Macaca mulatta: one gene and its partners. The protein of the gene in region 5 purifies or fractionates together with the protein of the main gene of each other region. This does not show direct contact. Links are inferred from orthologs where the notes say so. Each region holds a gene or a part of one and is shown on either strand. Other genes may lie near its edges. The genes, in order: EP300, HDAC4, UBTF, SMAD3, RUNX2, SMAD1 and HDAC1.

Region 1 (2,833 bases), on a different chromosome or scaffold from region 5:
ATTCCTGGGCCTATTCCTGGCCCTGCTCCCTGTTGCTGCTGCTGTTGCATCATCTGTTGTCGTCTCAAGATGTCTCGGAATTGTGAAGGCATGGTGTTGTGGTTCATGTTCATCTGCTGAGACTGGGGGCTCATCCCTCCCATGGGCGGCTGGAGTTGCTGCTGGGGTTGCTGCTGGGGCAGGCCAGCCCTCTGGACGCCCGCCTGCATTGGATTCATGTTCTGCATGGCTGGATTGGAGTGGACCCCCTGCTGACCTGGCATGGTAGGTGGCTGCAGCCCTGGCTGCCCCTGGGGCATGCCAGGCTGCCCAGGGATGGGTTGTGGATTAGAGTTGGCATACTTGGCAGCCCGCTGCTTGATGAATGCAGCCAACAGCTGGGGGTTGGCGTGAAGGATACTAAGCACCTGTTGCTGCTGTAGGGGAGAGCTGGGAGACCTGAGAGTCCGCAAAAGGTTTTGTAAGGCTTGTTGAGACACAGTGCCTGGTTTGAGTGGGCTCACACCTACCTGGCCCAATCCTGGTTGTGGAGCCATGTTCAAGGGTTGACCATGCTGGGCCACTGACATCATGGCTGGCCTTGGCATCCCAGACTGTAGTTGCTGGGGCTGAGGCAATCCTCCTTGGCCCCAGGGTGGCTGTTGCTGCATCCCCGTCGGTCCCATCCCTGGCTCCAAATGCCCACTGGGACCTCTGGTCATGGGAGGTGGGTTCATACCCATGGGGGCCATGGGAGTCATCGGGGGCATCTGATGTTGGATTGGCCTTTGAAAAATTTGCACGTGGGCCATCTGGCGCTGCGTCTCTGCTGCTCTCTGAATCTGCATTGCCATTTCCACTGCTGCAGGTGGGGGCCCTGGAAGGGGTGGCTGAGCAGTCTGAGGAGGGGTTGGAGGGGTCACCTGGCCTGCTGCCTTACCCTGGGACACAGGGCCAGCAGCTTGAGTCCTGGGCAAGTAGGGTGGCATACTATTGGGAGGGGTAGGCTGAGGCTGAGAGGTGGGCTGGGGCGTCTGTGGGGTGGTTGGCTGTTGGCCAGTTGGTGTCGTTGGAGTGGCAGGAGTGGGGGAAGGGAGGCCCTGTTGCTGCCCGACCACACCAGTCCGCTGCATGCTGGCCATCCTTCTGCGAAGCATTTGGGCCTGTTGTAGTCGGTGCTGCAGCTGCTGCTGCCGGAGCTTCTGCTTGATGTTTAGGCAGAACGGCACTGGGCATTTGTTCTCCTGGCAGTGCTTGGCATGGTAGCAGCAGAGGGCGATGAGCTGCTTGCAGATGGGGCACCCGCCATTGGTTTTCCGTTTGCAACCCTTGGTATGCTGCACAACCCGCTTCATCTTCTGGCAGGATGGCAGGGAGCAATTGGCATTCCGACACTGGCAAGCATGGACCAGAGACTGGATGCAGCGCTGGATACTCAGGCGGCGAGAATCGCCTGGGCTCTGGGTGGCTGCAGCCTGCTGGTTGTTGCTCTCATCATCTAAGCCAAGACCTAGTTTCTCCATTTTGTGGTCATGGTTTTTAGTGTTATAGCAGGTGATACACAAGTCATAATCCTAGAGAAAAAACAGGAAGTGCAGGTAAACTCTCCAAGATTTAAGTCATTCAAAAGTATTTTGGATACTCTCTGGGCTGGAAAAGCCCCTTTTGTAGAACAAAAACCAGCCTCTTCAGCTCTGCCTCGCAAACACAAGGCCAGGCCCCTGCCATCCCACAGGCCTATATACAACACGAGGCTGCATGGCCCCTCAGAACAACGCTGCAGAGCTCACCTCCTTGTTCCCACAACCCAGTGCCTACCTCACAGACAGTACAGTGCCAGCGTGTCTCCACATGGTGCTTGCATTCATTGCAGGTGTAGACAAAGCGGTCCTGGCTCTGCGTGTGCAGCTCCACCAGCATGCACATGGTGGACCACTGGGCTCTTCGGAGTGAAGAGAACTCCAGGTGCTTGTCTCTTGCCAGCGTGAGAAACGCATCCCGACCATCCATCAGATCACAGGGGATGAGAGGGTCAGGATCAACAATGGGAGGCAGGGAGTTGGCAGTAGGGCCAGCAATGAGGCGGATCACAAAGAAGACCTGCAAAACACACAATCTCTTTTTTTGAGACAGGGCCTCGGTCTGTCACCCAGACTGGAGTGCAGTGGTGTGCTCTTGGCTCACTACAACCTCTGCCTCCTGGGCTCAAGCAATTATCCCACCTTGGCTTCCTGAATAGCTGAGACCACAGGCCCACACCACCACGCCTGGCTAATTTCTGCATTTTTTGTAGAGACGAGGTTTTACCATGTTACCCAGGCTAGTCTCAAACTCCTGAGCTCAAGTGATCTGCCTGTTTCAGCCTCCCAGAGTGCTGGGATTACAGGTGTGAGCAGGTAAAGCAGGCTAAGCACCAATGAGACTGGCGAATGCTTAGTTTTTTTTTTTTTTTTTTTTTTTTGAGACAGTGTCTCTGTCACCCAGGGTGGAGTGCAGTGGCCAGATCTCGGCTCACTGCAAGCTCCGCCTCCCGGGTTTACGCCATTCTTCTGCCTCAGCCTCCCAAGTAGCTGGGACTACAGGCACCTGCCACCTCGCCCGGCTAGTTTTTTTTTTTTGTATTTTTTTAGTAGAGACGGGGTTTCACTGTGTTAGCCAGGATGGTCTCGATCTCCTGACCTCGTGATCCGCCCGTCTCGGCCTCCCAAAGTGCTGGGATTACAGGCTTGAGCCACCGCGCCCGGCCATGCTGAGTTAGTTTTACCATACTCCTCCTGCTCTCTTTTCCTGCTTTACCTTTTTGGTATCTTGAGACTGACTATAAATAGAACTGAAATGCACATCCTGTGATTTT
Region 2 (4,709 bases), on a different chromosome or scaffold from region 5:
CAAGGGGACCTGGCCATTTAAGGCTGCAGGCACCACAGCCCTCATGCCACCCCGAAACAGGTCCCACTCTTCCCACTCACAGAAGCCCAAGAGAAGAAAACTGACCGTATAAAGAGAACTTAATGACCTCAGTGACACTTGTTCCCATAGAAACGCTTATGAATGAGTTAAGGTCTATTCAAAGGTAGCATCACTTTCGACATGGCACCCATCATCTGACATGAACCAGAAGGTGCGGTACCCGCCTCTAATGTCAAGGCCAAACACCCAGAGCCCACCACACGGCAGGGCATGTGCTGACCATCTGAGATCAAAACAAACACTCCCTCCAAATCCATCCTTTCCAACTCCTTATCCCAGGACACACTGGGGGCTGCAAACAACGGGGCAGGGGCTCAGTCCCGGTTCCACAGCCACAAGTTGAGGTGGAGACTGGGCCCCTTCGCCCTTCATGTCCGCCATCCCCAGCTACAGTCAACAATTCTGAGCCTCGGAGGGAAAGCCCGGCCACAGCCTGTCGCCCCGCTGCCTCTCAGCAGCGGCAGTTCTCTCGGCCTCTGCGGCTCCTTCGCGCCCTACATCAGGTATTAATATATTACTCATGGCAGCTTCTGAGCTATGAAAGCCCAGCCGTTTTCAATAGAGAACGGTATGGACGAATTCTACAGGAGTGATGAAATGCTTCTTCTGCTCCGGCAATTAAGACAGCATAAAGTCGCCTTTCCTTTGGTGCCACCCCCAACATCAAAGGATTGGAATTCAAAGCCATTCATGCTGCATTGAAACCTCACAATGAAGCTGGAGAATGGAAGTCGATTACTGGGCATAAATATGCAGTAGTTAAAAGGAAAGAGTTATAACGAAATTAAATGCAGCAACCCCACAATGTGTGGAAACTTCCAGCACTAGAGCCCTCCTGGTAAACATCCATAGAGCATCCTTCCCAACCAGGTCTCTGGCCACAGAGAGTCCAGATGGGCTGCCTGAGCCGCACGTGGCCAGTGTGCCAGGTTGTTCTGCCCATCTTGCTACAGCAACAGCCCCCAAGGCCTCCGAGAACATGGCATTTGCGGATTTTTATTTTGCATGGCTAGGAAGCTGCTGAACACAGAATATTGTCCCTGGTTCAGGACTCCGAGGCCACATCTGCCCTTCGTCCCCAGGCCTTCCAGGCCTATGTGCAGTCCAGTCATCTTCCCTCTGCCCCGCCCCTTAGCCCAGGGCTCCCCGGGGGGCATGCCTGCTGCCAGCTCCCCTTGCAGAAGAAAGAACCCTAAAGAGGGCAGCGTTGCCTCTGCCTGCTGAGTACAGCCGGCTTCTTTTCTAATTGATTACTGCTCTCTTTAGGATGGGATTTGATCTCTAAAATAAAAGCCCAGAACACAGAAAGCTATAGAAGTCTTACAATGTGTTGGGGTGTGTGTTTTTAAGGCATGAAAATACTTCCCTCCCACACAAATGTGAGTTCTTCTGGGGAAAGATGCCACAGATCCCAGAGAGTAGAATATCTGGGAAGGCTCGATCAGTCTTAAAAATAGGTAATTGAACACAGATTTTAGAATTCACAGGAGCTACCTGAAAAAAAATTAAATTTCACATATTTTTGATATCCAAAACTCCATTCTGATGAAACTTCTAACTGGGTGGCATTCTGCATTTCCAATTATAATAGAGTAATTGTGTTGCCATAGTTACTGCAAAATTCTGCAATAACTTTTGTTGCTTTGTAACTGCTGTAGTGTATATTTGTGTACAAGCAGCTGAGTTTTCTTAATTCGATCTCCCTCCCTTCCACCCTCCCTTTCCCCAGTCACCACCACCACCTTTCCTGGCTGGGTCCTGAAACCACCACACCAGCCTTCTTTGGACAGTCCCGAAAATAATGCACAGAATTATCAGAAGCAATTAAAACTCCAGGCAACCACGATCATATTACAAAAGAAAAAGTGAAACCAGGTCAAGGTGCAAACCTGCCAGTATCCCCCCAGTCCTGCTGGGCTGGCGCTGGGCCAGGGCTGTTTACAGGTTTACTCCCAGGCCTTAACTGCTTCAGTGATTTGTGGGAATAAACAGAAAAGCCTGAATAGAGAAAAACGGGGCGGCAAAGTGACTACACAGGCCCTTTCCTCCCTCACGGAGAGCAAGCAGAACTGCTCTCAGCAAGCAATTAGGTAGGTCTCTACAGTCATGCAATTAGGATTTAGTTAAGAAAGTCATTAGTTTTAAAATAACTTAAGTTTAATTTCTGCAACGCTTTATTTGAAAATTGTGTCACAGCAGGTCAATTTACAACATGCAATAAAGAAAACACTCATATCAGCTGCCTCAAGTTATTACAAATTTTTGATGTGCATTAAATGAGTACACTGGGTTCCACCCCCGGCCTTTCCAACTGATACGCACGGTCTCCTGCTATAACAGTGTCAAATAATTCAACGCTCAATGTAAATACGAGATAATTTGCTTATGATTCCGTGGTGTGTTTTCGCAACGCGGGGAAACGCGGATCCCACCCCCGAGCTGGACCGGGCCCCGTCTCGGCCTGCGGGCGCCCTGCGGGCTGAGCCGAGGGGGTCCCGGGCAGCACCCCCGCCTCCCGCGACCCCCCAGGCGCTCGCAGCGGCGACGACACGCGAGGGGCCGCGGACCCCGGCAGGGACGTTTTTCTGCAAACTCACAGCATTTGACAAAGTTACATAAACGGCGCCCGCCCGGCCCCGGCGCCCGCCCGCCCCCGCCCTCACTCCCGGCGGCCCGGAGCCCACCTGTTCGGGGGGCGCGGGCCCGGCACCGGGCGACGGCGCCGCTGCCTGCCGTGCCCACCCCCGCGCCCCCGCCCCGGCGGGCGAGGCCGCCTCGCGGCGCGGCTGGAAAGGTCCAGAAGGGGCCGGGCGGCCCTGGGGACCGGCGGGTCCCACGGCGCGCGGCCCGCGCTGGCCCCCGCCTCCCACGGCCGCGCGCGGGGCGGGTGTGGACCGGCGGCGTCCACCTGCCGCGGGCTCCGAGGCCTGCAGGCTGCGCGGGGCGCGGGGCGGACGGCGGACAATGGCCCGCGGGCGCCGGGCCGGGGCTGCGCTTACCGCGGCGGGCGGCGGCGGCCGGCTCTAGCCCTGCTCGGGCGCTCCGCGCCGCATCTCCTCAGCCTGCGCCGCCACCCGCCGGCGCGCGGGCTCGGGCTCGGGCGGCGACAGCCGGGACGCGGCCGCGGCGCCGCCGGGGGCCCAGGCTGGGAGGCTGCTCGGGCGGCGGCGGCGGCGGCGGCGCGGGCGGGCGCGCGGGTTCGGGCTCGGGCTCGGGCGGCGGCGGGGACGGTGCTCCGCGGCGGCGGCCCCACAACCTCCCCTCCTCATTCACAAAAAATTGACCCACGTTGAACCATGATGCTTCTCCCCCCTCCAGCGTCGAGCCGGGCGGCGATAGGCCACCCTGCACGCCCGTCAGCCGACCCGGCCCCGCCCCGCCCGCCGGCGGCTCGGCAACCACTGGCTGCGGCAGCCTTGCGTCACCTCCCCATATGGGCCCCGCCCTCCCGCCTGGTTTCTAATGAAGAGCTCGTCAATTACGGCTCGGCCCCGCCTCCCGCCCGCCCGCCCCGGGCGCCTGGCCGGCCTTCCATTGGTCCGTTGAAACCTGCGCACGGCCCGTCTGCTCCCACCCCTCGCCCCGCGGCTGCCCAACCGCGGGGCCGGACGCCCCGTGAGCGGCGGAGAGGCTCCACCCCTGCCCGCCTCCCCGCACGCATCCTGGACCTCATTGGCTCCTGGAGCTGTCAATTCTAGGGGGCGGGGCGTACCAAAAGACGCTCCAGGCGCCAGCCGCTGGGTGCTTCGCGGTTGAGGAGGCGCAGAGACCCGGAGCCAGTAGTGACCGTAAACACGGGCCCCGGCCGTGTCTAGTCCCACTCGGTAGCCCGCATGGCTACCTAGCGGTCAGCACCGCGTGTCTGCGAGCCTAATTCGCGCTTAGAGGGCACACAATGGGGTGCAGGCTGAGGCGGGGAGCTGGCCAGGCCTCGCCGTTGCCTCCATCTTGGGTACGGGCAGTGGGTCACGTGGTGCTGCGTGCGCACGGAGGCGCAGGGCGGCCCGGTCACCGAGTGCGCAGGCGCCGCGGGCCTCGCCCAGCCCCGCGGCGGGAACGCGGCTGTCTGGGTGTGCATGGGGTGCAGGTCTGCCAGGCCTGCAACTGCTGCTGAGGGTCGTGGGATGCGCTCGTCGGGTCCCTGCTCAGGCGGAGGGAGCCCGGCCCGCCGCCAGGGTCTCGAGTCACGGGCCAGGCAGGCGTGGAGGTGGCGGGAACTCCGCACCGGCCGGGCGGGTGTTGTTTTAAGGCCGCAGAGCTTGGGGGGCTTGTGTTGAATTAAAGGTCGGTCCGTAGATCCCCGCAAGCGCCTTTGGTTGCCAGCTGGTGTGGGCGGGAGTCTTCAGTGGCCACCCTCCTGCTGGTGATGTTTCCATTTCTTTCCAACAAGAGTGTGACAACTTTTAAACTTGGGTGCACACACTGTCCCCGGAATCCCGCGTTCCAGGGAGGAAGCGCCTTTGACAGCGCGCGCCGGTGCGTGGGGCCTGACGGCGTGGGCCCAGGGATGCGGACCTGGCGGGGATGAGCGTTCGCTTCGATTGTGGGCCATTCCTCTTAGATGAGCAAAGATCCGTTTTTACAGCATTCTCGACCTTTGATTCTTGGCGGGGGGGGAAACTGTAGTT
Region 3 (4,476 bases), on a different chromosome or scaffold from region 5:
AGCGAGAACCGGGTGCTGGGCTCCCCTCGCGGCTGCCCGCCGCCGCCGGGGGGCAGCGCCTGCGGCCTGCTTTCCCAGGGCCGGCCGAGGCTTTTTGACAAGCTGATTGCGTGGCGAGGATTGGCTGGTCCGGGCGTGACGCCGGTAACAACAAAGGTGGAGTTGGAAGAAATTAGATTAAAGGAGAGAAAAAAAATTAAAGGGGGAGCTGGCAAAAGACAGGAGGTATAGACCGAGGGGGAGATGCGCCAAGTGGTGTCTCCCGGTTCCGACTCCCCCCCGCCCCGCCTCGACCCCAGAAGATCCCTCGCGCAAACCCACTGGGATTTTGCTCTTTCCCCTACCCCCGCCCAGTGACCGACGCCGGGGTAGGAAGGATAGCCGCTTCTTCTTGAAAAATCCCCGCAACTCCCACCCTGACACCCCTCACTACGACCCAGGGGGAGAACTTTTTGCTCGGACTCCTCGGATCCTAAACCCAGCGAAGAGGGGGACATTGATAAGCTCGTCCTTTTAAAACCCGGAAGGCCCTCGCGGAGCATGGAGATCGGATAAGGCGGGGTGCTCCCTCGGTTTTCCGATGTGTTGCAAATCTAAGAGCTTCTTTCTCGCTTTTTTTTTTTTTCCCCTGTAACTACCCCCCCTCCCTTTTGCTTCAGGGTTGCAAAAGCAAAGAGCAATAAAAAAAAAAAAAAAAACCGCGCACACACTCAGACACACACCAGTGGCGACAGGGGAGAGTTGGAAAGACGCAGGAGAGAAGCAGGAGGCAGGAGGCAGCGGGGATGGAGCAATGGGAGCGGGAAGCAGGCAGGTTTCCTTGCAAATCCCCCTCCGGCCTCACGCCGCCTCCCAGCCCCGGCAGGGGAGCGAGGACCCCGGCGAACAGATGGAGGAGTGGAGCTCGCTCTAGGCAGCTGGGCTTGGCCGGAGAATGGAGGAGCCACCAAGCGACCGGCTGATTGGAAGAGAAACGCAGAGCGATGGAGGCGGGGGTAGGAGGACGATTTCTCTGCGGGGACTGGCGGCGGCGTACACGCCCGGGTCGGGCGCTGCAGAGCTTGGCTGGCTTTCAACCCGCGCTCGCCGGCTCCAGCCCCGCGCGCCCCCACCCCTAGCCCTCCCGGCGGCTCCGCAGGTGAGTGCGAGCTGCGGGCAGAAAGATCCAAAAGTCTCAACACGCCCGCCCTGCAAAAAAGGAAAAAAGAAAAAAAAGGAAGAAAACCATTTTACTTTAAAAAAAAAATTTTTTTTTGTGCAACCCCTAAAGCAGTGGGAGGGAAGGGGTGAGGCTGAGCCGCCCGGAGGAGGCGGAGGGGCCAGGCGAGGCCGGGGTGGCCCGGGAGGCGGCGGCGCCGAGGCGGCTCTGACGGGCAAGCGCTCGGAGCGGCGCTGCGCTGCGCCGAGGCGGGCGGGCGGGCGGGCGGAGCGGGGCGGGCGGAGCGCGGCGCGTGGGGCTCGCCATTAGCCGTCGCTCCGCTTCGCCATCTCGGGCTTTGTCTGGCGACTCGCTGCCCCGGCGTCGGCTGCAGCGGAGCTGCGGCTCGGCTGTTCCGCCCGCCGTGCTCCCAGGTGCCCCCGGCCTGCGCTCCCATCCACACGCTCGGTAAGTGAGCCCGGGCGCCGCGGATTTCGGGGGAGAGGGGTTGCTACGAGTGGCGGCGGCACCGATCTCCATGCGCCCGGGCAGGCCTGGGGAGCCATGCCGGGCTGGATTGAACCGGCTCCCACAGCGGCCCCTCCGCCGGAGCCCGTCGTTCCCTCGCCGTTTCCGGGGTGTAAAGAGCAACGGGGATTTTTTTTTTTAATGCAGAGATTTTCGGTTTTGGGTTTTTTTAAAGTTTCCTATGTACCGTTCGGCAATGAGAGGATCGCGAGGTAGGCGCCGAAGCTGGACGCCGCGATCGGCGTGCGTGCGCCCCAAACCAGTGGCCACGCTCCGGGGGATGAGGGTGGGCGCGGACCGCTCGCTCCGGGAGGCGGGAGAGAGCTGGCCTGGAAGCCCCAGTCTGAGCTGGGAGGACTTGGGGGAGAGCTCCGGAGCAGGGCTGTGGGCGCCCCCCAAGCCTTCCTGGCCGCCGGGGGCCCCTCCGGGCACCCTCTCCGCGGCCGCGCCTCGGCCCTCCCTCCCGCGCCGGCAAAGCCTGCTAGTTCCCCCGCGGGTCTGGCGAGGTCGCTCTCGGCGCCCGCCCGCCCGCCCGCCCCGGCTCCGAGCCCCGCCGCCATCCGGGCGGCTGCGTGTCTCCCTGCCCCGGCCCCCCCCTTCCCCGGCGGCGGCGGCGGCGGCAGCAGCAGCAGCAGCAGCCGCCGCCGCCACCAGCACCAGCACCACCACCACCCCCCTCCCCTCCTTCCTTCCCTCCGCCTCGGCCGCCCGGGTCCCCCCAGCTCCCGCCCCTCCTCCCAGCTGCCCCCCGCGGAGCCCGCCCGGGCAGGCTGTGGGAGGGAGCGGAGCCGGCGAGGCGGGCGGGCTGGCGCTCGCTCCCCGGGGGTCGGTGTGCGCTCTACGGGGAAGGACGCGCTCGCTGCCCCGCTTCTCCCGCCCCCCCTCCCGCTCCTCCTCCTCCCTTCTCCCTCCTCCTCCCCGCTCCGGCGGCTGAGGCTGCGGCGGCGGCGGGGGGTGTGCGAGCTGAGGCCGGGGCCGGCGGCGGGCGGGCTGCCTGCAGGCGGAGGGCGCTGTGCTTTGTGCTTTTCGCCGCGAGGAGCAGCAGGCAGCAGCCACAGCCGCCGCCGCCGCCGCCACAGCAGCAGCAGCCGCCGCCCCAGCGCCGCCGCCTCGCCCGGAGGAGGAGCCGCTGCCGCCGCGGGAGGGAGCTGCGGCTGTGCCCGGCCGAGCGGGGGAGGGCGCCGCCACTCAGAGCCGGGGAGGGAGCCGCCGGAGCGGGAAGCCCGGAGGCCGCGCTGCGCCGGGTAACCGAGGCGGCTGAGAACGCGCGCTGGGTTCGGGGCCGGACAGCAGGGAGCGAACCGCGGGTTGCGGTGGGCGCCCAGCAGGGACCCGGAGCGACCACCGAGCAGGGGACCGGGCGCGAGCAGACCAGGGCACTTGGGAGGACGCCGAGAGCCGGGGGAGGGGAAGGCAGGAAGCGAGGCCTGAGCCGAGCCACGGCCGCTGGCGGAGGAGCCCGCGCTTCTCGGATCCGGCAGGCGCAGTTCTCCCCGGCCGCCGGAGGGGGCGGCGGGGCCGGTGAGCGCTGCGCCCCCGCCTCCCGGCCGCCGTCCTCCCGCCCTCTCCTTGGCTCGGCTCCCCGGAGGCCGGGGCGGGGGCGCCGGCGGGGCTGGGCCGCAGGCTCGGGGGAGGAGGCGGCGGTTCCCGCCGCGGTCGCGCCTCTGTGCCGGGCTCCTCCGTGCGCGTCGGGGTGGCTGGGTGGTGGCGGCGCCTCTGGCCGGGGTGGGTGGCTCGGGGGCGGGGGGCAGGCTAGGCCGCTTCTCTCCGGCTGCTCGCCCGCCTGTGCGGGCGGGGACGGCGAAGGGAGCCCGGGAGGGGGGAGCGGCGAGAATCCGGATCCGGTCCCCGGGGGCGGTGCGGCCGCTGCGCTCCGGGGCTGGCGGCGGCTGCGCTGCGTCCGGGTCCCCGCCGGGTTGCGGAGGCGGGGGGAACCGGCTGGGGGGAGGCGGGAGGAGGAGACTGGGGCGCGTGCCCGCTTCCGTGGCCGCGCGCGCCCTTTACCCGCCCTTCCTCTTCCCCCGCCCTCCAGCCTGGGGCCTCCCCGGGGCGGGCGCTCAGAGGAGGAGGAGATTTTTTTTTTTTTTGGCTGGGGTTGGGGAAGGGGGGCGGAGGGCGGGCGCTCGCTGCACGCGGGAGCTGGGAGCAGGCCCTCGCGTGGGCAGGGGAGGGCGCGCGCCGCGGAGCCGGGCCGCAGGGGCTGGGGGAGGGGGGTCAGGAAGAAGAGGAGGGGCGTACTCTCCCTCCCAGAGACCCCTTAAGTCTGATAAGGTTATGGCTGGGTCTCTGAGAGCGTGGACCTGCCCACCTTTACTCTGGGCGGGGAGGGTTAGAAAGTCGTTCACCTCTCAGCCTTCCTGAGTGGGAACTTGTATGTCTTCCAAAGGGTGAGGTGGCTTTGACCCCGGGTTGCCCGGCCAGCACGACCGAGGAGGTGGCTGGACAGCTGGAGGATGAACGGAGAAGCCGACTGCCCCACAGACCTGGAAATGGCCGCCCCCAAAGGCCAAGGTAGGGGCATCCACTCCCAGCCCTCTGAAACTTAAACCCTCTTTGCCTCGTGGCTGTGGGGCACACTGCCTTCTTCAAGGGCTTTTCCAGTCTGCATACACTGAATTGGGGGAGAAAGTGCCTTGAGTACTTATGAATCAAGCATCTCCCACACTTGATTGGTTTGGCTGAATCCAAATTTTTTGGCCTGGAGTGGCTTACCTCCCCTCTCTCCCTGTCCCTCACACCCTATGTTAGAGGAGGCCTGCCTTCTGGGGTTTGCATTCAACCTTAAGTGTGTCCCAGCCCAGTGTCCTGGA
Region 4 (3,985 bases), on a different chromosome or scaffold from region 5:
TATCTCTGTCTGTCTAGAAACAGCGCCGAGAGTAAAGAGGATGAGGCCCAGAGAGTGTAGCTGGTTTGCTCGCAGTTGCACGTCTAGTCTGTGCCTGAGCCAAGACTGATCTCCAGTCTGTCTGGAGGATGGCTTTATAGCTTGTGTCCCATGATCCAGTTAAATATCTAGCGCCGTTTTGCCCTCTAGAATACATCTGGCAATATCCACAGCCTTCTTTTATTGCCACAATTTGAGAGGGTGGTATGGATGTATACTGCTAGCACCTAGTGGGCAGGGGTCAGAATGCTGGTAAACATCCTACAATCTACACACGCTCCCTCCCACCCACCTACCCAACAAAGAATTATCTGGCCCCAAATGTCAGTAGTGCTGAAGTTGAAAAACCTGACCTAGGGTGTCCTAACCCTCCAGCTGACTTCCTGGGCGTGTGTGGAGTGCAGGGGTGTTACTGGCCTGCCCCTTCTCTGTTCGTGGTAGCATTCTCCTTGCTTTTAGAAGGGATCATGTGCCTAGACCCCATAAGGGGATCAGGGACTCTTTGTCCTGCAGGCAACCAGACCCCTTCCTGTGGGCAGAACAGCTTCTGACTTTTCTCTCTTGGGCTTTACACACTTTCAGAAGGTCTAATGAGCGGGGGTGCCCCCGGTGGTTTCCCCCTCCTAGACGTTGCCTGGTATCCATTGAGCAGGGTTCTCAGGCCAGGGCGACGGCACGGGGAGCCTCTCCTGTTCCCCCCTCAACAGAGCCCTGCGCTGAGGGTTAAAGTGAGGGAAGAGAGATGTCAGCCTGGGCCCTGGGACCTCATGGTCGAGTTGGACAGTCAGGATGCTCACATAGAGGCACACCCTTAGTCACTGCGTGGCTCCAGGTATATTTAAGAGCCAGAGGGACTTCAGAGCCAGGCTGAAGCTTTGAGATGGAAGAGTGAGAATGAGCAGGGGACTCCCTGATTCTTCAGCAGATGGATGGGATTCAGGTAGGCATCAAGCAGAGCGTGGCAGGCCAAGGGCTCGTGCCCAGCAGTCAGTGCAGCACAGAGAAGCAGCTGCAAGTGGTTGGCCCAGGGCGCAGGGCAGTCCTGGTCCAGAGGCTGTGGCATCGGTGTGAGTGGGAATTCCGAGGGCCCGGCCAAGGGCTGAGAGTATGGACCTGGAGATGCTGCAGAGGCGTGCAGTAGGAGGGCACAGCGCCAGGGCCGCTGGGCTGGGGCAAGAGGAGGGCAAGGAGGCCCCAGGAAATGGAAGGCTGGGATCCATTTCCAGTGTAAGGAGAAGCTGCCATTTACTCTTCTGAGAAAGAGAACCAGCCCCTCGCAGGATGGCAGTTTTGCTTTGAGGAGCCCCATATGGAGACTACACAGACAACTGGGACAAATCCAGATTTTCTTTCAGATGGGTTTGTGTCCCAGCCACCCCAGCAGCCGGCATGTAGATAAGTGTGGAAAATGGTTTCTGTGATAAGAGGCAAGGCTCCAGGCTCAGTCTGCGGACGATCCTGGTGTGTCCACTGCGCTGACACGGGGCCCTATTGGGAGCCCACTCGGCTGCTGCAGGCTTGGAAGCTGCTGCTCCACAGGCTGGGAGTTTGCCCCCAGGGCTGTGCAGAGCCAAAACCTGAAAGCCCTTTTAGGGGCAGGGATTAATGGTGGTTACTGTAGGAACCTTGCAAGAGAGGCTGAGAGGTGACTGTGCGGGAGGTGTGGACTGCCCCACAGTGGACACACTGCAGTGGCTGTCCCAGGTTCATCCAGGTACTGGGTGGCCCCTGGTCCTCTTCAGGTTTGGCCCAGCCCCTGCTTGAAGACTCCTTCCATCCAGTCAAGGCCAAGCAGGCGGGGCAGGGCCTCTATGAGCTTAAAAAAAAAAAAAAGAAATCAATGGCCCTTTACACACACAGTGTGGCAAGGCTGACGGAATCTCCTCCGGACACCTGAGCATCTTGTTCTGGTGGGTGCTGCCAGTTTTATACGATAAAAGGCACCAGGTGGGGAGACTATTAATCCCTCTGAAATGTGGGGAAATGGTTCTCCAGAGCGTCCATGGGACCCCATCGAGGCAGCATGGGGCTTGGGGCACCCACTGACCCAGTAGCCCGCCCTGTGTCCACAGACCTGCAGCCAGTTACCTACTGCGAGCCGGCCTTCTGGTGCTCCATCTCCTACTACGAGCTGAACCAGCGTGTCGGGGAGACGTTCCACGCCTCGCAGCCATCCATGACTGTGGACGGCTTCACCGACCCCTCCAATTCGGAGCGCTTCTGCCTCGGGCTGCTCTCCAACGTCAACAGGAATGCAGCAGTGGAGCTGACGCGGAGACACATCGGTATGGGGTGGCTCCATTCCCCGCCCCCACCCTGCCCCTGCCACTCTATCGCGCCCCCAGCCCCAGGCCCGAACACACAGCCTCTGCAGGGAACCTTGCCTCCATCCTTAGCTGTGCTCTGCCTCCTGCTGGGCATGGGGGAAGACTCACCGCCCCAGCAAGGCCCCCACATTCCCTGTTGCCCTGTTTAGGGGCCAGACAGGTAGTGTTCAGGCCACTTAATCATTCCCACTCAAAGATATAATCTCAGAAAACCTGGAAGCCACAGAGGAAAATACTTAAGGGATCGAGAAGGGAATGTCTATGAGAAAGGCAACATATGAAATCTTTTTTTTTTTTTTGAGACAGAGTTTCACTCTATCCAGGCTGGAGTGCAATGGCACAATCTCAGCTCACTGCAACCTCTGCCTCCCGGGTTCAAGCGATTCTCCTGCCTCAGCCTCTCAAGTAGCTGGGATTGCAGGCACCCAACCACCACGCCCGGCTAATTTTTATATTTTTAGTAGAGATGGGGTTTCTCCATGTTGGTCAGGCTGGTCTCCAACTCTTGACCTCAGGTGATCCACCCGCCTCGGCCTCCCAAAGTGCTGGGATTAGAGGCGTGAGCCACCAAGCCCGGCTGAAATCCTGTTAATAAAAAGAGTTTGAAAGTGCAGATGGATAGGTTGATAAGTAGGCAGTCGTCGTTGGAAGAGTGATCTTTTCTTATTTTTATGTATCATTATTCTAGACAATTTAGAAAAGGTAGAAAAGAATTGTCCACTATCCAAACACCACTACTGTGAACCTTCTGCCTTCGAGCCCGCAGAACATAAGTAAAAGATGACTCTGTGAGTTTAAGGAAGATGAAGCTGTGTTACGTATCGCTTGGTTTGCTTATGAAGTTATCATGCTTAGAGGATTTTACCATCCAGAACACAACTGTGAGAACTTAGAAGGGCTGTGGAGAGATGGCAGAGTGACGTTTTCTCAGACCTCGTCCTGGAGCCCCAAGGGTTGGCGAAGGGTTCCTGGGGCAAATTCAGGAGCTGGGCAGGTTAGCAAAGGGAAGCCTGGCCCCACGTGAACCAGGGCACCTCTGCATTCGCTTGCTTTATATCTCGGGCTCTCACAGAAGCCTTCGTTTGAAGAGAGGATTGATTCTGTAGTGAAGAGAAGAAAAGTTTGGAGGCCACAGGCCTAGGTCTGTGCTGTCATTTTCTAGGAGAGGGGCCTGATGTCTAGGGGTGGGGAAGGGTAGGGAATGGCTCTCAGAGACCTCATTGTCAGTGACAGACAGCCCCCACTACCAGACCCGTTCTCCCCATTTTGCTTTTTGTCTTTTACTTCAAAAAAGATACTTATTCTGGGTGGCATACCACTGTTGGATTGATTGATTGATTTACAGATAGGGTCTTGCTATGTTGCCCAGGCCCAGTCTCAAACTCCTGGGCTCAAGCCATCCTCCCATCTCAGCCTCCTGATTAGCTGGGATAATAGGCATACACCACTGCAACTGGCTTTTTTCTATATTTTATTAAAAATATATATATATATATTTTACTTACATATATATATATGATTTTTGTTTGTTTGCTTGTTTTTTGTGAGGGGAGACCAAGTCTCACTCTTGACCCCCAGGCTGGAGTGTGATGGCATGATCTCGGTTCACTGCAACCTCC
Region 5 (4,462 bases):
CCTCAGTCCCCCGCGCATCTCTTCAGCGGGGCGATCCTGGTCACCGAGTCACATAACCACAGCCCCGCAAGCTCATCTTGTACTCGAAAGGGCTCCAGAGTCCGCGATTGGCGCCAGGCCCCCATCTTCCGTGCCCCTCATGCTCTCAGAGCCCTTCCAGGCCCCTTCTAGGGCGCAGACCCGGGCGTGGGCTCAGCGAGTGAGAGCAAAGCTTTAAAACCAGACAGGGAGAGTCGTGGCAGGTCGCTATGAGGGTGAGGGAGGCGTTTGCACTGAGCAATAAAAACACCCAGTAATGGGTATGTGAATTGCTTTAAATAAGATGGGAGGGAGAGATGACCCAACCATCTTTCTTCCTTAATACTTCGAGGAGGAGGCATTCTAATTCTTCATTTATTTCATAAACTCACTTGTTACTGTGTCAGCTACTCCACTAGGAATCTTTGAAACTTTGGCAACTGAAGATTTTTTTCGCAAACACGTTTTCAAGCTTTGGAAGGCTTTAAAGAGTTTGGTAATAAGCAAGAAACGTAGTAGTACACAACGCCGAGGGTAAAACGGCCCTGTGCCCCCTTCTTGGGGTGTAATAGCCTCAAGCGGATTTCCCGGCTTCTGCGGGCGCAGCACATTGTTTTATTTGTTTTGAAGGCTCAGAGTTTGAGGCTGGTCGTAGACACCCACGTGCTCTGACTCTCATCAGCGTAATGATCGCCTTAGCCAAAGTCGTGTCTATATAAACCACAAAAACCTAATCATTAGAAATCCCAGCCTCCAAAAACCACATTTTAGGTAAAAAGTGCCGCTTTTTTTCCGCGCTCCTTCATCCTCTCGACCGCAACTTTTTGGGGGATCCAAAGTCGCTTTTTAAACCCACACTAGGAAATAAATACATAAATAAACAGCCACGGAAGCATTTTGAATTTTTTAGTTCGTATTTTTAATTTTTTCCCGTGAGCGTTGGGGAAGACAGACACGAAACTTAGTCTTAGATGTAGGATAGACTTAATAAAAGATTTAAATTCATGGAAAAAGGCTGGTGCTTTTCCCCAGCAAGGGTTTTGCAACTATTTTAATCACCAAGCTGACAGTTTTTCAGTCCTTAAAACAAAAACAAACCAACAACAACAAAAAAAACCTCATTCTTGTTCTCTAGGAATGACAAGATTGAATATATAAGAAAAAAGAAATGTCCAGCTATGCACTTGAGTTCCTAAAAACTACTTTGACTAGTTCTCCCCCCACCCCCCTCATTTTTTTGTGTCATTAAAACAAAAAACACCCAAACCCTGCAAAATCTTTTTCCCCTGGGAGTCGCTCAGACAGAGGTGGGGGGTGGAGGTGGGAGGGTGAAGAGTGCTGAGAAGTCAGCACAGACGCTCAAGAATTTTCCTTCCTCCTCTCCTGAAGTTACAACGAAAAATAGCGACAGTCAGATCAGCCGGGGGCTCTCTGGTGTCTCGGCTTCAATCTCTTCCGACAAAGAGGGGGTTCCTTGTCCTAGGGGTGGGGAGAACAAGAGGACGCGACCAGACGAGACTGCCCCTAGACTAGGGCCGCCTTTCGGCTTCGGAAGCTGCACAAGGCGCGCGGGGGGCTCCTTCTCGCGGCCGGCTGGCGGCGGCAGCGGCTGCGATTCGCAGGCTCGAGATCCGTTGCCCCGAGATCCGCTGCCCACGACTTACCTCTTGGCACCTTGAAGCGCGAGAGACAGGGGAGCTTTGCAAATTGTAGGAGGGAGTAGATGCAAGGAGGTGGCGGAGAGAGGGCGAGAAGAAAAGAAGGGAAAGGAAGGAGCCTAGCCGGGGAGCCGGGCTGGCAGCCGCCGCGGGAGGAATCTGAGCGTGCAGCCGGCGCGGGGGGAGCGGCGGCCGCCGCGGAGGCGGCGGCGCGGGAGGGCGGAGGCGCGGCCGCCTGCAGCTGGGTAGCAGCGCGCGGCGCGGCGCGGCACGGCGGTGGCGGACAGAGCGCGGCAATGCCGGCCCCGGGGCTGGACTGCTGAACCCACACCGCTTCACCACCGGACTCGAACTGGGAGGGGGCGCCAGCGCACCCAGGACGCGGTGCCCCAAGGGACCCCACTCCAAGCTGCAAACTCAAGTCCCCCGCCTCCCCGGGCCAAACACACTCCCGCGCCCGTTCGCAGCTGCCACCCCGGGTGTTCCAAAGGCTCCGGCAAAGATCTGCGCCTCCCGGATCTCCCTACCGGCCAGCCCGTCTGCGCCGCATCGCCAGACTCTCTTGGCCCATCAGACTCCGCCCGGCAGTCGGCCTCATCAAACTTGATTTCTCACCTCCTCAGCCCCATCACCTCCATCCTCTTTCCCCCCGTCTCGCCTTCACCCCCCCAATTTCCTCCTTGCCCCTCATTTCCACCCTCCTCCCCCTCCCCCGGCCACTTCGCTAACTTGTGGCTGTTGTGATGCGTATTCCCGTAGATCCGAGCACCAGCCGGCGCTTCAGCCCCCCCTCCAGCAGCCTGCAGCCCGGCAAAATGAGCGACGTGAGCCCGGTGGTGGCTGCGCAACAGCAGCAGCAACAGCAGCAGCAGCAGCAACAGCAGCAGCAGCAGCAGCAGCAACAGCAGCAGCAGCAGGAGGCGGCGGCGGCGGCGGCGGCGGCGGCGGCGGCGGCGGCGGCAGCTGCAGTGCCCCGGTTGCGGCCGCCACACGACAACCGCACCATGGTGGAGATCATCGCCGACCACCCGGCCGAACTCGTCCGCACCGACAGCCCCAACTTCCTGTGCTCGGTACTGCCCTCGCACTGGCGCTGCAACAAGACCCTGCCCGTGGCCTTCAAGGTAAGAGTCTACACCGCCCCCCGCCCCCGGCCCGGAGCCGCGGAACCTGCCCGCCGGTGTCTTCCTGCCCACGGGGCTGGGCCCCGGACGTTCTCCAAGACCTCCTGCCTTGGCGGCTCTAACCCCAGAAACCCCCGGCTGGGCCTCTCCCTCCGGATGCCCTGGCGGGCTCCAGGCTCAGTCCCTCCGCGCAAATCCCTCCTTCTCCCACCTGTGCCCGCTGCCACCCCGACTTCAGCCCTCGTCCCCCTGACCCGTTCATCACTCCTCTTGCCTCCTGCCCGGCCTCGGTTCTCACCCACTCCTTCGCTCCGTCTCCCTTTCCCCCAGGATCCCCAAGGTGCCCACTCTTGCACTGCGAGCGGACTTGCTCCACCCCGCCCCTTTCCCGAGGGCGAGGATCCCCGACACTGTCCCCCGGGGCTCCCGCTTCCTCCTCCTTGGTCATCCCGGCCTGGCCTCATTGCAGGCTGCCCGCGTCGCCTCTCTTTGGGGCTCCGCGCGCTCCCACCCGCTTCCCTCCCAGCCAAAAGCCCCTCCTTAGGTCTCGGCGTCCCCTTCCCTGACCCGCAGAGTTCAGCGGTCCTGGTCCCTCCCGGGCTCCCGGGTCGGGATTCACTGGGTGCCGGCGCCGGGCATTAGTGCCCAGGGCTGGGCGTGGGGTGCTGACTGAGGCGCGCGGGCTGCGCTACCCGTGCCTGGGAGGGTCCCGGACAAGACTAGGGTCTCCAGAGGAGGGGGTGTCAGGACGGGGGCGTTTGCTCTGTTCGCTGACCCGCGCCAGATCCCGTTACCGGGAGGAAGGCGGGGCCGCCTGGGCGTCCGCGAGCCCCGAAGCGGGGGCGTTCAGGGGGCCTGGGCGCTGAACCCTCGAGTGCTGGGAGGTGCTGGCCAGGGGAGGGGGCGGGAGCTCAGGCCGCTTCTTCCAGCCGAGACCGAGCTATGCGCCTCGCCCCGCCATGGAGGGATGAGGGAAACCTGTGAAACAACTTGAGTTCGCCCAATTTGAAAACGGAGGTGAAATTTTGTATTTTTGCTTTAGTATTATTTTTAAAGGACTTAAATCTAAAAAAGGTCCCTCCTGCTTCTGAAAGGTGGTGAGAGGCTCCTGCCGGTGGTCTGAGCACAGAGTGAGTTCGAAGGCTTGAGAGCGGCCTCTGCGCGCCCCGCGGACTCTTGTGCCTGCCCGGCCCGTTAGTTTGAGGGCGGGTGGCAGCCGCGGGAGTCGCAGGCAGGTGCTCCACAGGTTGAGGGTTTAGGATCTGGAGCCTCTCACAGTAGCCCGATGGGTCTCCGTAACTCGATCCGGATTTCCCGGGGCAGTCCTCTCCAGTGGGGGAGACGCGGAGTCCCCAGGGCCCAGCGCATACTGGGTTGATGGGGAAATGGGTTCCCGGGCTGTCCACACTCGCAAGACGCCAGGGATGCAGGGGGTGGTAAGCCAGATGTGGAGATGAGCACTCTCACAAAGGTGCTTTGGGCCCTTTCTACCTCTGAACTTGAGTAGGTGGGCCTGGGTCCCCTGGGTTCTGAGGTCTGTGGAGAGCAGGGCAAGCAAGGCCTCGGGGGAGGTTAAAAAAAAAGTTGGGGGAGGAATCATGCCAGTTTCTCCACTGGGGACCCGGTGGCCAAACTCCCACGGGCCACTGACAGTTCCCAGTT
Region 6 (3,132 bases), on a different chromosome or scaffold from region 5:
TGCTGAATGTTAAAGAGAAACTGTTTATCATATATTAGCAACAAAAAATGTGCACACTGTTTTTACAGAACTGTTCTTTATTATATGGACTGCACACTTTATCCTCTCCCACTCAACATTTTAAAGAAATTGTAACAGAACATTTTACTAACAGTAGCCAATCTTGAGCTGTTTTCAAAATGATTTTTGGATGTTAACATAAAACATATTTTATAAATTATTTGTACTTTAAACTCTATGTCTGAAAAGTCCAAGTCAGCTCAGCTGAACACATATTTATAGAGCTTCTGCCTTCTGTCGTTATGCTATATATCGGAGGTAAAGATAAATTCCTGCCTTCAAAGATGTTGATATCTGATGGAGGAAACCTGCACATAAGCCTGTAAATTAAATTTAGGAGTTTGTTTATATTTACAAACGCATGAGTGTACGTACATCTATGTAGATACATATATCTATATAGATGTAGTTTATACAAGTTTTGATGTTCGGATACATTTCCTTTTCTTTCTTTCTTTTTTTTTTTTTTTTTTAAGACAGAGTCTTGCTCTGTCGCCCAGTCTGGAGTGCAATGGTGTGATCTCGGCTCACTACAACCTCCGCCTCCCAGGTTCAAGCAATTCTCCTGCCTCAGGCTCCCGAGTAACTGGGATTACAGGCGTGTGCCACAGCACCCGGCTAATTTCTGTATTTTTAGTAGAGTCAGAGTTTCGCCATGTTGGCCAGGCTGGTCTCAAACTCCTGACCTCTAGTGATCCACCTGCCTGAGACAGAGTCTTGCTCTGTCACCCAGGCCGGAGTGCAGTGGTGTGATCTTGACTCGTGGTAACCTCCGCCTCCTGGATTCAAGTGATTCTCATGCCTAAGCTTCCCAAGTAGCGGGGATTACAGGGATACACCACCACACCTGGCTACTTTTTATATTTTTAGTAGAGATGGGGTTTCACCATGTTGGCCAGGCTGGTCTGGAGCTCCCGACCTCAGGTGATCTGCCCGTCTTGGACTCCCAAAGTGCTGGGATTACAGGTGTGAGCCACCGCACCTGGCCCCAGATCTATTTCTTAAAACTACTGGAGTAGATAGGTAGCAGAAATAAATAGAACCCAACCTTCTCTGATACTCCTCATGAAACAGTGACTAAAGGATTAATCATTGTCCATCCCCACCAGTGAGTTTTTGATCTTTGCAGTAGCAGTTACTTTTCTCTTTTTCATAGTGACTTTATTCTGTGGAACTCTACTGTCTTAATGCAGTAGTTCTGACAAGCTACCTTCTTGTACAAATGAATGATAGAATGTATTGATTCATGGCAATGGCTAGGTGTCAATAATAGCTTTTTGGATACTTAAATGTACTCCTGCCCGTTTTGCTTAGAGATTGAAAGATCAAGAGCTGTGTGTTGATAGGAGGCTGATTCAGTGGCCGAATAAGGAAGAAATTGAATGTCAGTCTGTCTAGCATAGCTTTTTTGTTTTATTTTCTTGATAAAATGAGAATTTAATAATAGCTATTACATTACTATCAGAAATGGGCAATTAAAATAAAAGTTTTACAGTGCCTTTATTAAGACAACTTTATAATGTATTTTAAAATCTTCATTCCTCAAGACTGGTAATTCTTATTGGAATCCTTGGATGGACCCTGGGGAGCTAACATCCATCCTTTGAAATTGCCTGCCAAATTATATGTGTGTTTGTATATGTGTGTTTTTTTCTCCCCGGCGGCGGGGGGCAGGGAGGAAAGATGCATAGCTTTAATCAGAGTCTTGGTTATGTGAACCCTTCTTACTTAATAAGTTTAACCACTGAGTTAAAACAAGTTAAATGACCTCCAGTATGTTTTTCCTAGGGCTGGGGAGCAGAATACCACCGCCAGGATGTTACTAGCACCCCCTGCTGGATTGAGATACATCTGCACGGCCCCCTCCAGTGGCTGGATAAAGTTCTTACTCAAATGGGTTCACCTCATAATCCTATTTCATCTGTGTCTTAAATGGCCCCAGGCATCTGCCTCTTGAAAACTATTGAGCCTTGCATGTACTTGAAGGATGGATGAGTCAGACACGATTGAGAACTGACAAAGGAGCCTTGATAATACTTGACCTCTGTGACCAACTGTTGGATTCAGAAATTTAAACAACAAAACAAAACAAAAAAACCCACCTTGGTAACATACTGTTGATATCAAGAACCTGTTTAGTTTACATCGTAACATTCTATTGTAAAATCAAACTAAAATGCAGACTTTTAGCAGGACTTTGTGTATAGTTAAAGGAGAAATGGCCAAGCCAGGGACAAATTGTCTATTAGAAAATGGTCCTAAGAGATTCTTTGGTGTTTGGCACTTTAAGGTCATCGTTGGGCAGAAGTTTAGCATTAATAGTTGTTCTGAAACGTGTTTTATCAGGTTTAGAGCCCATGTTGAGTCTTCTTTTCATGGGTTTTCATAATATTTTAAAACTATTTGTTTAGCGATGGTTTTGTTTGTTTGTTTTCAGTAAAGGTTAGTCTTGATGATATACATAATAATCTTTCTAAAATTGTATACTGACCATACTTGCTGTCAGAATAATGCTAGGCATATGCTCTTTCCTAAATATGTATGTACAGAGTATTTGGAAGTTAAGAATTGATTAGACTAGTGAATTTAGGAGTATTTGAGGTGGGTGGGGGGAAGAGGGAAATGACAACTGCAAATGTAGACTATACTGTAAAAATTCAGTTTGTTGCTTTAAAGAAACAAACTGATATCTGAATTTTGCTGTGTTTCCATTTTTTAGAGATTTTTATCATTTTTTTCTCTCTCTTTTGGCATTCTTTTATCTCATGCTCTTCAAAAGGCAGTTCTGCAGCTGGTTAATTCATGTAACTGTGAGAACAAATGAATAATTCCTGCTATTCTGAAATTGCTTACATGTTTCAATACCAGTTATATGGAGTGCTTGAATTTAATAAGCAGTTTTTACGGAGTTTACAGTACAGAAATAGGCTTTAATTTTCAAGTGAATTTTTTGCCAAACTTAGTAACTGTTAAATATTTGGAGGATTTAAAGAACATCCCAGTTTGAATTCATTTCAAACTTTTTAAATTTTTTTGTACTATGTTTGGTTTTATCTTTCTTCTGTTAATCTT
Region 7 (4,456 bases), on a different chromosome or scaffold from region 5:
TAAACAAACAACAACAACAAAAAACAGTGGCTTATGCCTGTAATCCCAGCACTCTGGGAGGCTGAGGTGGCAGGATTGCTTGAGGCCAGGCCCAGGAGTTCAAGACAAGCCTGGGCAATATATTGAGACCCCGTCTCTATAAGTTAAAAAAAAAAAAAAGTTATCAACTGACATGGCATTCTCCAAACCTCCAAACACTCACCATCAAATTGCCCACACCAGAGGCCAGGAAGTGTGGCTCACGCCTGTAATCCTAGCACTTTAGGAGGCTGAGGCAGACAGATCACTGGAGGTCAGTTTGAGACGAGCCTGGCCAACATGGTGAAACCCCATCTCTAATAAAAATACAAAAATTAGCCAAGCATGGTGGCGTACGCCTGTAATCCTGGCTACTCAGGAGGCTGAGGCAGGAGAATCCCTTGAATCTAGGAGATGGACGTTGCAGTTGCAGTGAGCCAAGATCATGCCACTGCACTCCAGCCTGGGTGACAGAGCTAGACACTGTCTCTCTCTCTCTATATATATATGTATTGCCCACACCAGGAACTTGGGATCCATGCCTTCTTCCTTACCCCTAAAATCTGAATTTCTTTTTTTGTTCGTTTTTGTTTTTTTGAGACCAAGTCTCTATCTTTTGCTCAGGATGGAGTGCAGTGGTGAGAACTCAGCTCACTGCAACCTCCGCCTCCCAGTTTCAAACAATTCTTATGCCTCAGCCTCCTGAGTAGCTGGGACTACAGGCATGTGCCACCACACCTGGCTAATTTTTTTATTTTTTTGAGATCGAGTCTCACCCTGTTGCCCAGGCTAGAGTGCGGTGGCGCAATCTTGGCTCACTGCAACCTCTGCCTCCCAGGTTCAAGTGATTCTCCTGCCTCAGCCTCCTGAGTAGCTGGGATTACAGGTGCGTGCCACTACGCCCAGGTAATTTTTGTATTTTTAGTAGAGACGGGGTTTCACCACGTTGGCCAGGCTGGTCTTGAACTCCTGGCCTCGAGTGATCTCCTGCCTCGGCCTCCCAAAGTACTGGGATTACAGGCGTGAGCCACTGCACCTGGACCCCATGACTTTAATTTCTTTCTCTTTTTTTTTTTTTTGAGACGGAGTCTCCCTCTGTCGCCCAGGATAGAGTGCAGTGGCATGATCTCCGCTCACTGCAAGCTCCACCTCCCGCATCCACACCATTCTCCTGCCTCAGCCTCCCAAGTAGCTGGGATTATAGGCGCCCGCCACCACGCTCGGCTAATTTTTTTGTATTTTTAGTAGAGACGGGGTTTCACAAGTTAGCCAGGATGGTCTCGATCTCCTGACTTCGTGATCTGCCCTCCTCAGCCTCCCAAAGTGCTGGGAGTACAGGTGTGAGCCACCGTGCCCAGCCCATGACTTTAATTTCTAAGGTATAAACCTGATGATGTCACTAACCTGCATAAAACTTGAATCATTCACAAGTGCCCTCAATAAAGTCCAACTTCCTTGGGACAGCATGCCCAGCCCTTCATGGTCTGGTCCCTGTTTACATTTTTTTTTTTTTAAGACATAGCCTCACTCCGTTGTCCAAGCTGGAGTGCAGTGGTATGATCTTGGCTCACTGCAACCTCCACCTCCCGGGTTCTAAGGGATTCTCCTGCCTCAGGCTCCAGAGTAGCTGGGATTACAGGTGCGCGACACCATGCCCGGCTAATTTTGTATTTTTAGTAGAGACGGGGTTTCGCCATGTTGGCCAGGCTGGTCTCGAACTCCTGACCTCAGATGATCCACCAGCCTTGGCCTCCCAAAGTGCTGGGATTACAGGTGTGAGCCACCTCACCTGGTCGGTCTCCATTTACTTCAGCAACCACATTATTTGCAACACTTCCCTCGCCCCGGGTCCCCACCTTCTACAATAGGCCCCCAAATCTATGTCTCAGCCATACTGTTACAAATGCCTGCTTTTCTTTCTTCCCTTTTTTTTTTTTTTGAGACAGAGTCTTGCTCTGTCACCCAGGCTGGAATCCAGTGGCCTGATCTCATCTCACTGCAACCTCCACCTCCCAAGTTCAAGGGATTCTCCTGCCTCAGCCTCCCAAGTAGCTGGAATTACAGGCGCGCGCCACCACGCCCAGCTACTTTTTATATTTTTGTAGAGACAGGGTTTTGCCATGTTGGCCAGGCTGGTCTCGAACTCCTGACCTCAAGTGATCCGCCTGCCCTGGCCTCCCAAAGCGCTCGGATTACAGGCGTGAGCCACCGCGCCCGGTCAAATGCCTGTTTTTCAAAGGTGCTGTCCTCTCTCTTGCCTCTGAAACTTGCTGTTATCTTTGCCTTCCCTTTGCCTGGCTAAGAACTCCTGTTCTTCAGGTCCTGAGACGTCCCCTCCTTCGCTGACTCCTCAGGTGGAGTTCGGTGCCTATTCTCTGTGCTCCTCTAACACTCTGAGCTCTGACACGGAGAGAACTTCGGTCACTGGGACCCGATCATTCCCACCGCCCCAGCCCCTCAACACTTCCTCGAACACAGTAACCTGCTTGAGAGATTAAGTGAGAAGCCTGTTTTAACAGGTTGCATCCTTCTCCTTGCAACCCCTGGCGCCCCACGTCGCAGTAGCAACCGCAGGCCCCGCTCAGAGGCTGGGGGAGGGGAGGCGGGCGACCAGTCGTGCAGGGCTCTTCTCCCAGAAAAGATGAGGAAGAGACGGGGCAGGGAAGAGCTTTGGGTTCTCGGCAAGAAAATGTATCCTTGCAGCCGTCTCCATCAGATTCAGCCTCCCTCCTCGGACGCACCCTCCCCTCTAGGAGTCCCACTCAAACTCTCCACATCAAACTCTCCACATCAGACTTCCTCAGAATCTTCCCACCAAGATTACCTCAGGGTTCCCCCACGCGATCCCCTCGATCTCAGCCTCGATCTCCTTTCCTCACAGCCTCCTCCCTCAGCCTCGACTTCCCCCTCGCAGCCTCCTCTCCGAGCCTCTCCCCAGCGCCTCAGCCTCCCGCAGCCTCCCATCGGCGCTCCAGCCTCAGCCTCCAGGTCCCCGGTTCGGCCCGGCCCGGCCCCGCCCCCGCCGCGAGGACAGTGCTCACCGTCGTAGTAGTAACAGACTTTCCTCCGGGTGCCCTGCGTCTGCGCCATCTTGCTCGCCTCCCGTCCCTACCGTCAGTCGGTCCGTCCGCCCTCCCGCCCGCGGCTCAGCTCAGCGTCCGACCCAGGGGGGAGGGGGCGGGTCTCCGGCCCGCCCCGCCCGTCCCCTCCTGAGCTCACCTATAGCCGCGCAGCCCGGGCACCGCTCCAGCCAATCAGCTTGCGCAGACACGGGCCCGGAACTCGGCAGGGGGCAAGGGCAGCCCGGAGAGGCCGCCGAGGGCCCCCTGGGCCTGTACCAAGGTCTGCGACAGATGGGTGGGGAGCCGCCCGGGGACCGTACCATCAGTCCCGGGGGAGGAAAGCAGCTCCGTAAACTTAACAGTCCCACTTGGTCGTGAAAAGCGTGCTTGGAGATCGGAGGCCAACTTTCTGATTTTACGGAGAATAAACCGAGGCCTACAGGGGAAAAGTGACTTGCACAAGGTCACTCAGCCAATAAAAGGGCTGAACCTGGGTTAGAAAGCGAGTTTGTGATCGCAAAGGAGGGCTACAGAAAAATAATTAAATTAAAAAGAAAAGCAACACGCTGGTTTTGAGAGGAAGAAACTGACAAGAAAGGGAAAGAAAGCTGTTTGTCGAGGGGCTGCTGTGTGCCAAGTACTGTGCGACAGTTTACCAATGTTATTTCAGTTTTTCCTCAAAACACCTCTCGGCCAAGGGCTTTTTACCTCCATTTTACAGGACAGGATAAAGAAGTTCAGATTTCTGTGAATTACTCAAAGTTACACAAAGTAATTAAATTCAATTTTTCAACTGTACAGGGTTTTTTGAATGCCTTCTTTGCACCAGAGGCACTGTAACAAAGTGACAGAACCCAGCCTTTCTGACTCCAAAACCTACCTCCCTGAAGCAGTCACCCAGGATGACTTAAGTAGGAGTCTCTTTAGACAGGAAGAAATGGGATTATCCTATGATAGGAGAGCAGATTTTCCTTTCCTTTCCTTTCCTTTCCTTTCCTTTTTCCTTTCCTTTTTCCTTCCCTTCTCTTCCCCTCCCTTCCCCTCCCCTCCTCTCCCCTCCCCTCCCTTCCCTTCCCTTCCCTGAGGACAGTTCCGCTTTAGTTGCCCTGGCTGGAGTACAATGGTGTGATCTGTGCTGTGTGATCTCGGCTCACCGCAATCTCTGCGTCTGGGTTCAAGCGGTTCTCCTGCCTCAGCCTCCCGAGTAGCTGGCCTTACAGGCATGCGCCACCACGCCCGGCTAACTTTGTATTTTTAGTAGAGACGAGGTTTCTCCATGTTGGTCAAGGTGGTCTCCGACTCCTGAGCTCAGGATCCGCCCGCCTCGGCCTCCCAATGTTACAGGCATGAGCCATGGTGCCTGGCCTAGAAGAGCA

The links.
Region 1: the proteins of RUNX2 (region 5) and EP300 purify together in Homo sapiens (affinity purification with western blotting; 4 studies listed by BioGRID). This does not show direct contact. The link is inferred for Macaca mulatta from reciprocal best matches to the Homo sapiens genes RUNX2 and EP300.
Region 2: the proteins of RUNX2 (region 5) and HDAC4 purify together in Homo sapiens (affinity purification with western blotting; 3 studies listed by BioGRID). This does not show direct contact. The link is inferred for Macaca mulatta from reciprocal best matches to the Homo sapiens genes RUNX2 and HDAC4.
Region 3: the proteins of RUNX2 (region 5) and UBTF purify together in Homo sapiens (co-immunoprecipitation; 3 studies listed by BioGRID and IntAct, with this or other methods). This does not show direct contact. The link is inferred for Macaca mulatta from reciprocal best matches to the Homo sapiens genes RUNX2 and UBTF.
Region 4: the proteins of RUNX2 (region 5) and SMAD3 purify together in Homo sapiens (affinity purification with western blotting; 3 studies listed by BioGRID). This does not show direct contact. The link is inferred for Macaca mulatta from reciprocal best matches to the Homo sapiens genes RUNX2 and SMAD3.
Region 6: the proteins of RUNX2 (region 5) and SMAD1 purify together in Homo sapiens (affinity purification with western blotting; 3 studies listed by BioGRID). This does not show direct contact. The link is inferred for Macaca mulatta from reciprocal best matches to the Homo sapiens genes RUNX2 and SMAD1.
Region 7: the proteins of RUNX2 (region 5) and HDAC1 purify together in Homo sapiens (affinity purification with western blotting, with the first as the bait; 3 studies listed by BioGRID). This does not show direct contact. The link is inferred for Macaca mulatta from reciprocal best matches to the Homo sapiens genes RUNX2 and HDAC1.

Annotation. Positions count from the first base shown.
Region 1 is NC_133415.1:10,339,285-10,342,117, forward strand, and holds part of EP300 (histone acetyltransferase p300), read right to left. Parts: intron 2,080-2,833; coding exon 1,798-2,079; intron 1,554-1,797; coding exon 1-1,553. UniProt on the Homo sapiens protein: Functions as a histone acetyltransferase and regulates transcription via chromatin remodeling. Acetylates all four core histones in nucleosomes. Histone acetylation gives an epigenetic tag for transcriptional activation.
Region 2 is NC_133417.1:144,645,144-144,649,852, forward strand, and holds the start of HDAC4 (histone deacetylase 4), read right to left. Parts: upstream 3,229-4,709; 5' UTR 3,081-3,228; exon of another isoform or gene 2,766-3,080; intron 1-2,765. UniProt on the Homo sapiens protein: Responsible for the deacetylation of lysine residues on the N-terminal part of the core histones (H2A, H2B, H3 and H4).
Region 3 is NC_133421.1:68,591,135-68,595,610, reverse strand, and holds the start of UBTF (nucleolar transcription factor 1), read left to right. Parts: upstream 1-1,466; 5' UTR 1,467-1,606; intron 1,607-2,416; exon of another isoform or gene 2,417-2,491; intron 2,492-2,685; exon of another isoform or gene 2,686-2,979; intron 2,980-3,176; exon of another isoform or gene 3,177-3,391; intron 3,392-4,052; 5' UTR 4,053-4,119; coding exon 4,120-4,177; exon of another isoform or gene 4,178-4,232; intron 4,233-4,476. UniProt on the Homo sapiens protein: Recognizes the ribosomal RNA gene promoter and activates transcription mediated by RNA polymerase I (Pol I) through cooperative interactions with the transcription factor SL1/TIF-IB complex.
Region 4 is NC_133412.1:44,704,407-44,708,391, forward strand, and holds part of SMAD3 (mothers against decapentaplegic homolog 3), read left to right. Parts: intron 1-2,111; coding exon 2,112-2,324; intron 2,325-3,985. UniProt on the Homo sapiens protein: Receptor-regulated SMAD (R-SMAD) that is an intracellular signal transducer and transcriptional modulator activated by TGF-beta (transforming growth factor) and activin type 1 receptor kinases.
Region 5 is NC_133409.1:136,726,922-136,731,383, reverse strand, and holds the start of RUNX2 (runt-related transcription factor 2), read left to right. Parts: upstream 1-1,611; 5' UTR 1,612-2,419; coding exon 2,420-2,800; intron 2,801-4,462. UniProt on the Homo sapiens protein: Transcription factor involved in osteoblastic differentiation and skeletal morphogenesis. Essential for the maturation of osteoblasts and both intramembranous and endochondral ossification.
Region 6 is NC_133410.1:154,128,359-154,131,490, forward strand, and holds the end of SMAD1 (mothers against decapentaplegic homolog 1), read left to right. Parts: intron 1-1,848; coding exon 1,849-1,992; 3' UTR 1,993-2,378; downstream 2,379-3,132. UniProt on the Homo sapiens protein: Transcriptional modulator that plays a role in various cellular processes, including embryonic development, cell differentiation, and tissue homeostasis.
Region 7 is NC_133406.1:208,584,235-208,588,690, forward strand, and holds the start of HDAC1 (histone deacetylase 1), read right to left. Parts: upstream 3,175-4,456; 5' UTR 3,109-3,174; coding exon 3,060-3,108; intron 1-3,059. UniProt on the Homo sapiens protein: Histone deacetylase that catalyzes the deacetylation of lysine residues on the N-terminal part of the core histones (H2A, H2B, H3 and H4).